Caenorhabditis elegans: one gene and its partner. The protein of the gene in region 1 interacts with the protein of each later gene in a pairwise test. Each region holds a gene or a part of one and is shown on either strand. Other genes may lie near its edges.

What was found.
Region 2: the proteins of rad-51 (region 1) and rad-54.B interact in a two-hybrid assay, tested with the Caenorhabditis elegans proteins (2 studies listed by BioGRID).

What each region holds. Positions count from the first base shown.
Region 1 is NC_003282.8:10,282,526-10,286,448, forward strand, and holds the start of rad-51 (DNA repair protein RAD51 homolog), read right to left. Parts: upstream 1,720-3,923; coding exon 1,695-1,719; intron 1,611-1,694; coding exon 1,531-1,610; intron 1,490-1,530; coding exon 1,208-1,489; intron 972-1,207; coding exon 825-971; intron 771-824; coding exon 613-770; intron 127-612; coding exon 35-126; intron 1-34.
Region 2 is NC_003282.8:16,947,924-16,951,846, reverse strand, and holds the start of rad-54.B (DNA repair and recombination protein RAD54-like), read right to left. Parts: upstream 1,781-3,923; coding exon 1,738-1,780; intron 463-1,737; coding exon 312-462; intron 1-311. Other genes in the region: arf-6 (ADP-ribosylation factor 6), read right to left, coding at 2,386-2,467, 3,814-3,874.

The DNA of each region.
Region 1 (3,923 bases):
GTTTATTTTTTTATTTTTTGAAATTTAGATTTACCTGCTCGAATAATCAAAGCCATCAAATGTTCTGAGTTGTATGCACGTGCAACAGCGATATTCTCGAGTACATGAGCACTGTCCATATTGTATCTGCAAGAAATTACTTCGATATTCAAAAAAATGCTACAAGATCCATAATAAGGTAAATTCTCAAATGCCAAAATTCAAGCCATGTGGCGTAAACCAGTAATTGTACAAAATGAGCCATTGCGACTTGTTCTCCAAACGTTTTTATTTCAAACTTAGTGATAGAATATAGAGAAATATTTACTTTATCTGAAAAAAAAAACTTATATTTGTTGAAACAATAAGGAAAAGGCTAAAAAATTGCCTGCAAGTTGAAATTCGCCAAAAAAAGACCCGGAACATCTCTGAAAGTTCATTTACGGCAATTTCCAACTTGCAGACCATTTTTGGCCTTTTCAATTGTTCAAGCAAAAATAACAGCTATTTTCAGACTGAGAAAATATGTTACTGATTTCTCGAAATAAATTTTAATTTTTTTTTAAATTTTCAAGTCGGGAGATCAAATTATGACAAATTCAGGATTTTTAAGAATAATTCTCAATCACAAACCTCTGAGCGATAGCAATAATTCGTTCGGGTCGAAAAGTGGCATTGGTATCAATATACATACATTTTCCCTCACCACCTCCCATATCAATCGGCAATTGACACAAGACTGCCAGACTGTGGCAAAGCTGAGTTTTTCCTGTTCTATATTCTCCGTAAACCTGAAATAAATGTTTTATTGAGTACTGTTGTCAGTTTATCCGTGATAAACTCACCTCAGTGATACTGCCTGTTTCGATACCGCCACCCAACAGTCTGTCAAGTGAAGCAGATCCAGTTCTGATCTGCACCAGCTGGCTTCGCTTCACATGAACCTCGGCTCCCGTCGTGAATCCCATCTGCACGAATTTCATGGCTTCTTTCTGAAATTAAATCATTGAAATATGAGGCCGATGTCTACATGTTCACAGCTGGTCGATTTGCCGTCAAAACTGACCTTGCAGCTGATCGTTTCATTCTTTTTCGGAGCTAACCTCGAAAAATGTATCAACTTTTCTGATACTTTCAATTCAATTAATTGGATTTTGAAAAATAAAGCCACAGAATTTTTAGTTTTTTTCTTTAATTCTCGAATAAGCTGATTTTTTGATATGCTCACCATTATCTTTTCAGCTTTCTGATCACTAATTCCTTTGACATTTCGGAGTTCGCGTCTTGTAGTAAATGCCAGCGATTCGTATGTATAGTATCCAGCTTCTTTTAGTTTTGAAATATCGCCAGAACTGATTCCTGAAGACTCAAGTTTATCGATAACTGTGAAGTTTTCATCTTGCTCCATCGCATTATCCTCGATTGCTGCATTGAGCAAAGCTTGATCAGCTGCACGCTGCTCTTGATCCGATTTCTTTTGACGACTTGCTTGAGCTGACATTTTTGACTCCTGAGATAATTTTAATTAATTATTTTTAAGTTAAAACATACAATTGGAAGGAAAAGATTTATTGAATGCAAATTCAAATTATATAGCCATTTATGTGTACATAGTGAACGTTTCGCAATCCCTAAAATCGGCATTTTTAACAGTGGAGCTTTTTTTTTCAAAAATTATGCTACACATTTACCTAAACTTATTTTTAAAATGTTACCTTCATATCCCCAAGATTGTCCCATAATCAATAGCAAAAGCTTTCTCTAGAGCAACAAAAATTGAGAAAAACATGGCCTAGAGACACGTGCCAAGTCCTTCCTCGAGCCCCCGTTCGCTTGACGAAAACAAGAACTTTCATGTTTTTCACAAGTTAGAACTGCTTTTGCTGCTCTACTATTTTTGTCGTCAACTACTGATTTATAACAGGATTAAGTCCACATATTTCTAGGCGTCAAGTTGAACGAACATATTTTCGAATTTAAGAATCACAATTTATGATTTATAGGTTTTTATTAAGGGTTTTCTTAGATAGATTTTCGTTTTAGAATAGAAAACATGGAAATTTAAATGCAAGTAAAACTGGCAGTAAATACAGAATTCTCAATTTTCAAAGTAGCGCCATTTGAAATTTTTTTTTCCGCTTTTTCGATGGCGCGCACTTGCTGTACTCTTGTTCAACACCTCGCCCTCCCGTCTCGTCCACTGCCGCTCGCGTGTGTGAAAGGCACCGATAGGAACGGGCCAGGGAAAAGGAAAAAGTGTAGAAAAAGACGATGCGCAGACATACAGCAAGGAGGGTCAGTGGACGCAATGGGGAAAAGAGAAGGAAGAGGACACCCAAATGTCTACTATGTACATTGTGTCCGAACCATTTTAAAACCAAAACTGGACATTAACCTTATCTTTTGCCCTTTTGAGCTTAATTTTTATATCACTTTTCTGCCTTAAAGCATTATTTTTTAAAGTACTATTCGTTTTTCAATCACTCGAACTATTAAATCTTTAAAACATTTTTTCTTGCAAGATTCTATGATTTTTGAATACTATTACTTATTAATTTATTAATACTTAGCTTAAATTTATATAATAATTTTTTATCTTGAAAATTGTTTTTCGTTGATTGAAAATTATATTTCAAATTTAGAATTGTTCGCAATTAAAAACGGGTAAAGCATGAAATATATTTCAGAAATCGAACAAAAATCAGGCTTTTTATTTTCCGAATATCAATTTCAAGCGTTAACCGAAGCGTTGTTATTTAATGACAAAAAATTTTGTTCATTTTAGGTTTTCATTCAAGAAAAGGAAGCAAAATTTAGCATAGCTGAAGACTTTTAATTAGTTTAACTCAAAAGCTACGAGAATAATCAAAAATTTAATAAAAAACCGCGCAAATCATTAGAGGATAATTAAGTTTTAAAACTAAAATGACAAAAAATGACAAAAGAAACAATGAGAAATCAAAACATGTTTCCTCCGTAAATCGACATTGAGTACTGTAGCGATTGGTCTCGCAGCGATGTTAATTTTCTTCTGTACTCCTCTCGGATAAATTTTATTATTATTGAACATGCGTATTAAATCGTTCATTGAACGGAAAATGGAGAGAATCGCAAGAAAAAAAATTATGATGAAAGTGCAAATAATTTAGAAAGGCTATGACACAGGTGATTCGCCGTTATAAAATACTTATGGCCACCAGTATTTTAGATGCAATTTGCAAATCGCTAATCTCGCTGCGGGACCACCAACATTCTAGCAATATATTGCTAATTGCGACTTTTAGTGCAAAATATTTGCTTCATCATATTGCTGATGCCTCAACTACATTCCATAAATATTTAAAAAACCGCGAAACACATGTGTATCTACTGATAAACTACATAAAGAAGTGAAATTTGTTAATAAAATCTTTGCATGAGAATTGTAACTAACTAGGGTAATTGATTTCATTTGGGCTTAAAATTAAACTCAACACATGATGAGTGAACAATTGGGATCGAAGTTTAGATCTAGAGGTTTTCCATCTATAAGTGAGCCGGTTACTAGTGCGATCAGAAGTTGTGAATTTGAAAAAATGTTTTTGATTAATATTAATTTCTCCACCAATTAGTTTCCTTTCAAACTTTTTGTCTTTTCTTCTAATGATCCAATTCCGTATTTTAGCCTACTTTCTGAAAAGTTCAGAAAATCTTTTTGAACTCCTTCTATTTCCTGTATTATGTTTCTAAATTTTTTTGGATTTTTTTTTGAATTACTGGAATGGAGATGTTTTAATAGGTCATTTACATGGTTATGTACAAATATTTTGACCAAATTATGTATTTACTGGGCAATATCACCTCTTTCAATAGGATTCTTTCTTTGTCCTCAAACTTTTCAATTTATGAGACAGAACTGACTGATTGTAATTTTATACCCAACTATGCAAATAGTCAATTCAATC
Region 2 (3,923 bases), 6.7 Mb from region 1:
TTTTTTTAATGTTTTCGGGGTAAAACTTCAAATTTTTACATTTTTTGAGGTTTAAAACAATTTTTTTTCGAATTTTCCGGTAAAAAAATCGAATTTTTCACATTTTTTAGGATAAAAAATAGTTTTTTTGCCAATTTTTCGGTAAAAATTCAAAATTTTCCCATTTTTTGAGATGAAAAATCAAATTTTCGCCAATTTTCTAGTAAAAAATTCAAAGTTTTCATAGTTTTAGGGGCAAAAATGCCTATTTTTCACATTTTTCAACTAAAAAATCGATTTTTTCTCCAATTTTCACGAAGCCAGGCACCAACCTGCAAATGACGTCACGCTCATCTTCCGACTTCAGGAGACACGAATCTGTGAAACACACGAGAAGACCGTCTCCTTCCCAAATTTTGTGTTTTCGAGTCGAAGCTTTTCCATAGAGAACGACAAAACGGGCGATTTCGGCGCTCGGGGTGTCTGGAATTTTGGGAATTTTCGAAAAATAAAATTTTCGACCACAAAAGAGGCGGAGCATAAATATTTCGTTCAGCTCCGCCCATTTTTTGGGTCTTGCGACGAAAATGTGTCCCGTAATCTTAAAGCCTTACGCATTTTCGTCGCAAGACCCAAAAGTGGGCGGGGCAAACCTAGCCACGCCCATTTCTTGGTAGATTCCGATCTGCCGAATTTTTGTCCATTTTTGAAAAAATATGAAAAAGATGGGCTCCGAGATATATTTTCTCTGTGAGACCCGAAAAATGGGCGGTAGATTCCGATCTGCCGAATTTTTGTCCATTTTTGAAAAAAATTGAAAAAAATGGATTTTTGGTAGATCGCGGGCGGCCCTTTTTTGGGCGGGGCTTAAATTCCAGGAAGATTTTTTTTCGAAAAACACGATCTGCGGTCACAATTTCGTCGCGAGACCCGAAAAGTGGGCGGGGCGTAATACGCCACGCCCCTAAATTGCGCGGGGCTTAACAAGGCACGCCCACTCCTTGGTAGACCATGGGCGGCCCATTTTGTGGGCGGGGCTTAACTTTCTGAATTGTTTTCCCGAAAAATATTCGGGGATCACGATCTTCGCAGCGAAAGTGGGCGAGACATAATAAGCCACGCCCGTTCCTGGTAGATCATGGACCGACCAATTTGTGGGCGGGGCGTCAATTTCTGGAAGATTTTATTTTGAAGAACACGATCTACGGGCATAAATTCGTTGCGAGTCCCGGGAAAGTGGGTGGGACGTAATACACCACGCCCCTTAAATGGGCGGAGCATGTCTGAACACGCTCATTTCTTGGTAGATCACGGACCGACCATTTTGTGGGCGGAGCGTCAATTTCGGGATTTTTTCCGAAAAATATTCGGATATCACGATTTTTGCAGCGAAAGTGGGAGGAGCTTAGTAGGGCACGCCCATTTCTTGGTAGATCGTGAACCTGCCATTTTGTGGGCGGGGCTTCAATTTCTGGAAGATTTTTTTTTTGGAAGAACACGATCTACGGAAACAAATTCGTTGCGAGCCCCGGGAAAATGGGCGTGGCATTGCTCCGCCCATTTATTGGCTTTTTGTAGAAATTGTACATAGATTCGATTCCCGGCGATATGCGTTCCCTAAAAAATTGTCCGGCTAAGCTCCGCCCCTTTAATGGTGGATTTCAGATTCCAACCATTTTTGGTCGTTTTTTTTTCGAATTTTTCAGCCAAAAATGCCAATTTTTCAGAAATTTTCAGCCTATAGGCGTAGGCGCCTACCATTTCCCTCATAACTATCCACGTTGAGAACCACTCGGGACATCTGAAATATTAAATTTAAATTTTTGGCCTAAAAATCTGAAAATCTGGCAGCAAAAAATATTTCGTCCTAAAGAAAATCAACTATAAAATTGGCCAAAAAATCGATTTTTTAAATATATTTTTCTCCATAAAAAACGATAAAATCACAGATAATGGCAGCGAATATATTTGGAGAAAATTGGAGGTCGCCGCGGCCGAGAAAAACCTCGGTCATGGAGCAAAAATTGGGGAGAAAAGCAGTGATTTTAGTGTTTTTTTTCGGGGGGGGGGGGGGAACTCGGGAAAAACAGTGGGGAAATAAGTGAAAATTGGGCACCTAGGGGGGGGGGGGGGGGGGAAATTTTGGAAATTTATTTTTTTGGGGAGCATTTTGAGCATTTTTTTCGAGTATTTTCTGTGAATTAAAGAGAGGGAAAATAGGAATAAGCATGGCACACACAATGTTAAAATTTAAGGGATTGAAAATTTTTTGAAAAAAAAATTTTTTTTTTTTTGAATTAAAAAAAAATTTAAAACAGAAAAAATTGCAGATAAAAAGTGAAAAAAATACTGTTAATATTTGGCAAGACGCGAATTTTTTATTCCAAATTCTTCAGATAATGTGTTTTACGGCTTGCAATTCTGGCTTAGCCACGTCAGGCCTTCGTGTAGGCCGTCTCCGGTTGAAGCACATGATGGTTGGACGTACCTGCAAAGAAATTAATTGGAAATTATGGGTGAAAATCCGTGGATTTTTAGGTGAAAAATGAAGGTTTTTGATTGAAAATCTGAAAAAAATCAATTTTTTCGGTGAAAAATTGGCCTAAAACCGACAATTTTCGAGTTTGGAGCGTTTTTTTTTAAGGAAAAATGGGTTTTTTTAGTGGAAAAATTGCTGAAAATCCGGAATTTTAGGTGAAAATCGGTTTAAAATCGACATTTTTCGAATTTTGAGCGTTTTCAGGTGGAAAATATGGGTTTTTTAGTGCAAAAACTGATGAAAATGCCGTAAAATCCGGAATTTTAGGTGCACAATCGGTGTAAAAACGGAAATTTTCGAATTTCAAGCACTTTTTGATGAGAAAATTGGATTTTCCGTGAAAAACGGATGAAAATAGCTGAAAATCTGCAAAAATTCGATTTTTTTTGGGAAAATTGGCCAAAAACCGACAATTTTCGAGTTTGGAACATTTTTTTTAAAGGAAAAATGGGTTTTTAGTGAAAAATTGTTGAAAAACTGCTTTTTTTTTGTAGAAAATCGGTTAAAAAAAGGAACTTTTTTTGAATTTTGAGCGTTTTCAGGTGGAAAATATGAGTTTTTGAGTAAAAATTGGCTTAAAATAGCTGAAAATCTGGAATTTTTGGTCGAAAATCGGAGAATTTTCGAATTTCAAGCACTTTGTAATGGAAAAATGGTTTTTTTTTTGTGAAAAAACGGGAAAAGCCGGCAAAACGAGTTTTGGGCGTTTTTTAAGGGAAAAATTGAATTTTTAATGAAAAAAAAATGTTGAAAATATGAATTTTTGTTAGAAAATCGGTTAAAAACGGAAAATTTTCGATTTTCAAGCACTTTGATGAAAAAATTGAATTTTTACTGAAAAAATGCTGAAAAACTGCATTTTTTGATGGAAAATGGCTCTAAAACGATAAATTTTCTAATTTTGAGCGTTGTCAGGTGGAAAATTGGATTTTTAGTGCGAAAACTGATGAAAATGCCTTAAAATCTGAATTATTTGGTGAAAAAACCGAAAAAAAGGCGAATTTTTAGAGTTTTCCGTTAAAAAAAAAGAAGAAAAATTTCGTTTCTGGAGGTTTTTTAGAAGAAACTGAGGGAATTTTAAGCGAAAATCGCTATTTTATGCTTTTTCTCCGAGAAAATTTAAAAAAATTGTATTTTTTGCATAAAAACGAGATTTTTAGTGAGAAATAATCGGAAAAATTTGATTTTTACACCAAAATCTGCATTTTCTACCCATTTTCCGAGAGAAAATGGGTGTTTTTTGATGTATTTTTGCAGAAAAATCAGTTTTTCCTCGAGTTTTTGATGTTTCTTACCAATTCCTGTCTCGAATCCTCGTCAATCCCAATTTATCCTGAATTTCGTGTGGTTTCATCGCTGAAAATTGCATTTTTAGTGAGTAAATCCATTTTTTCAGTAAAATCGG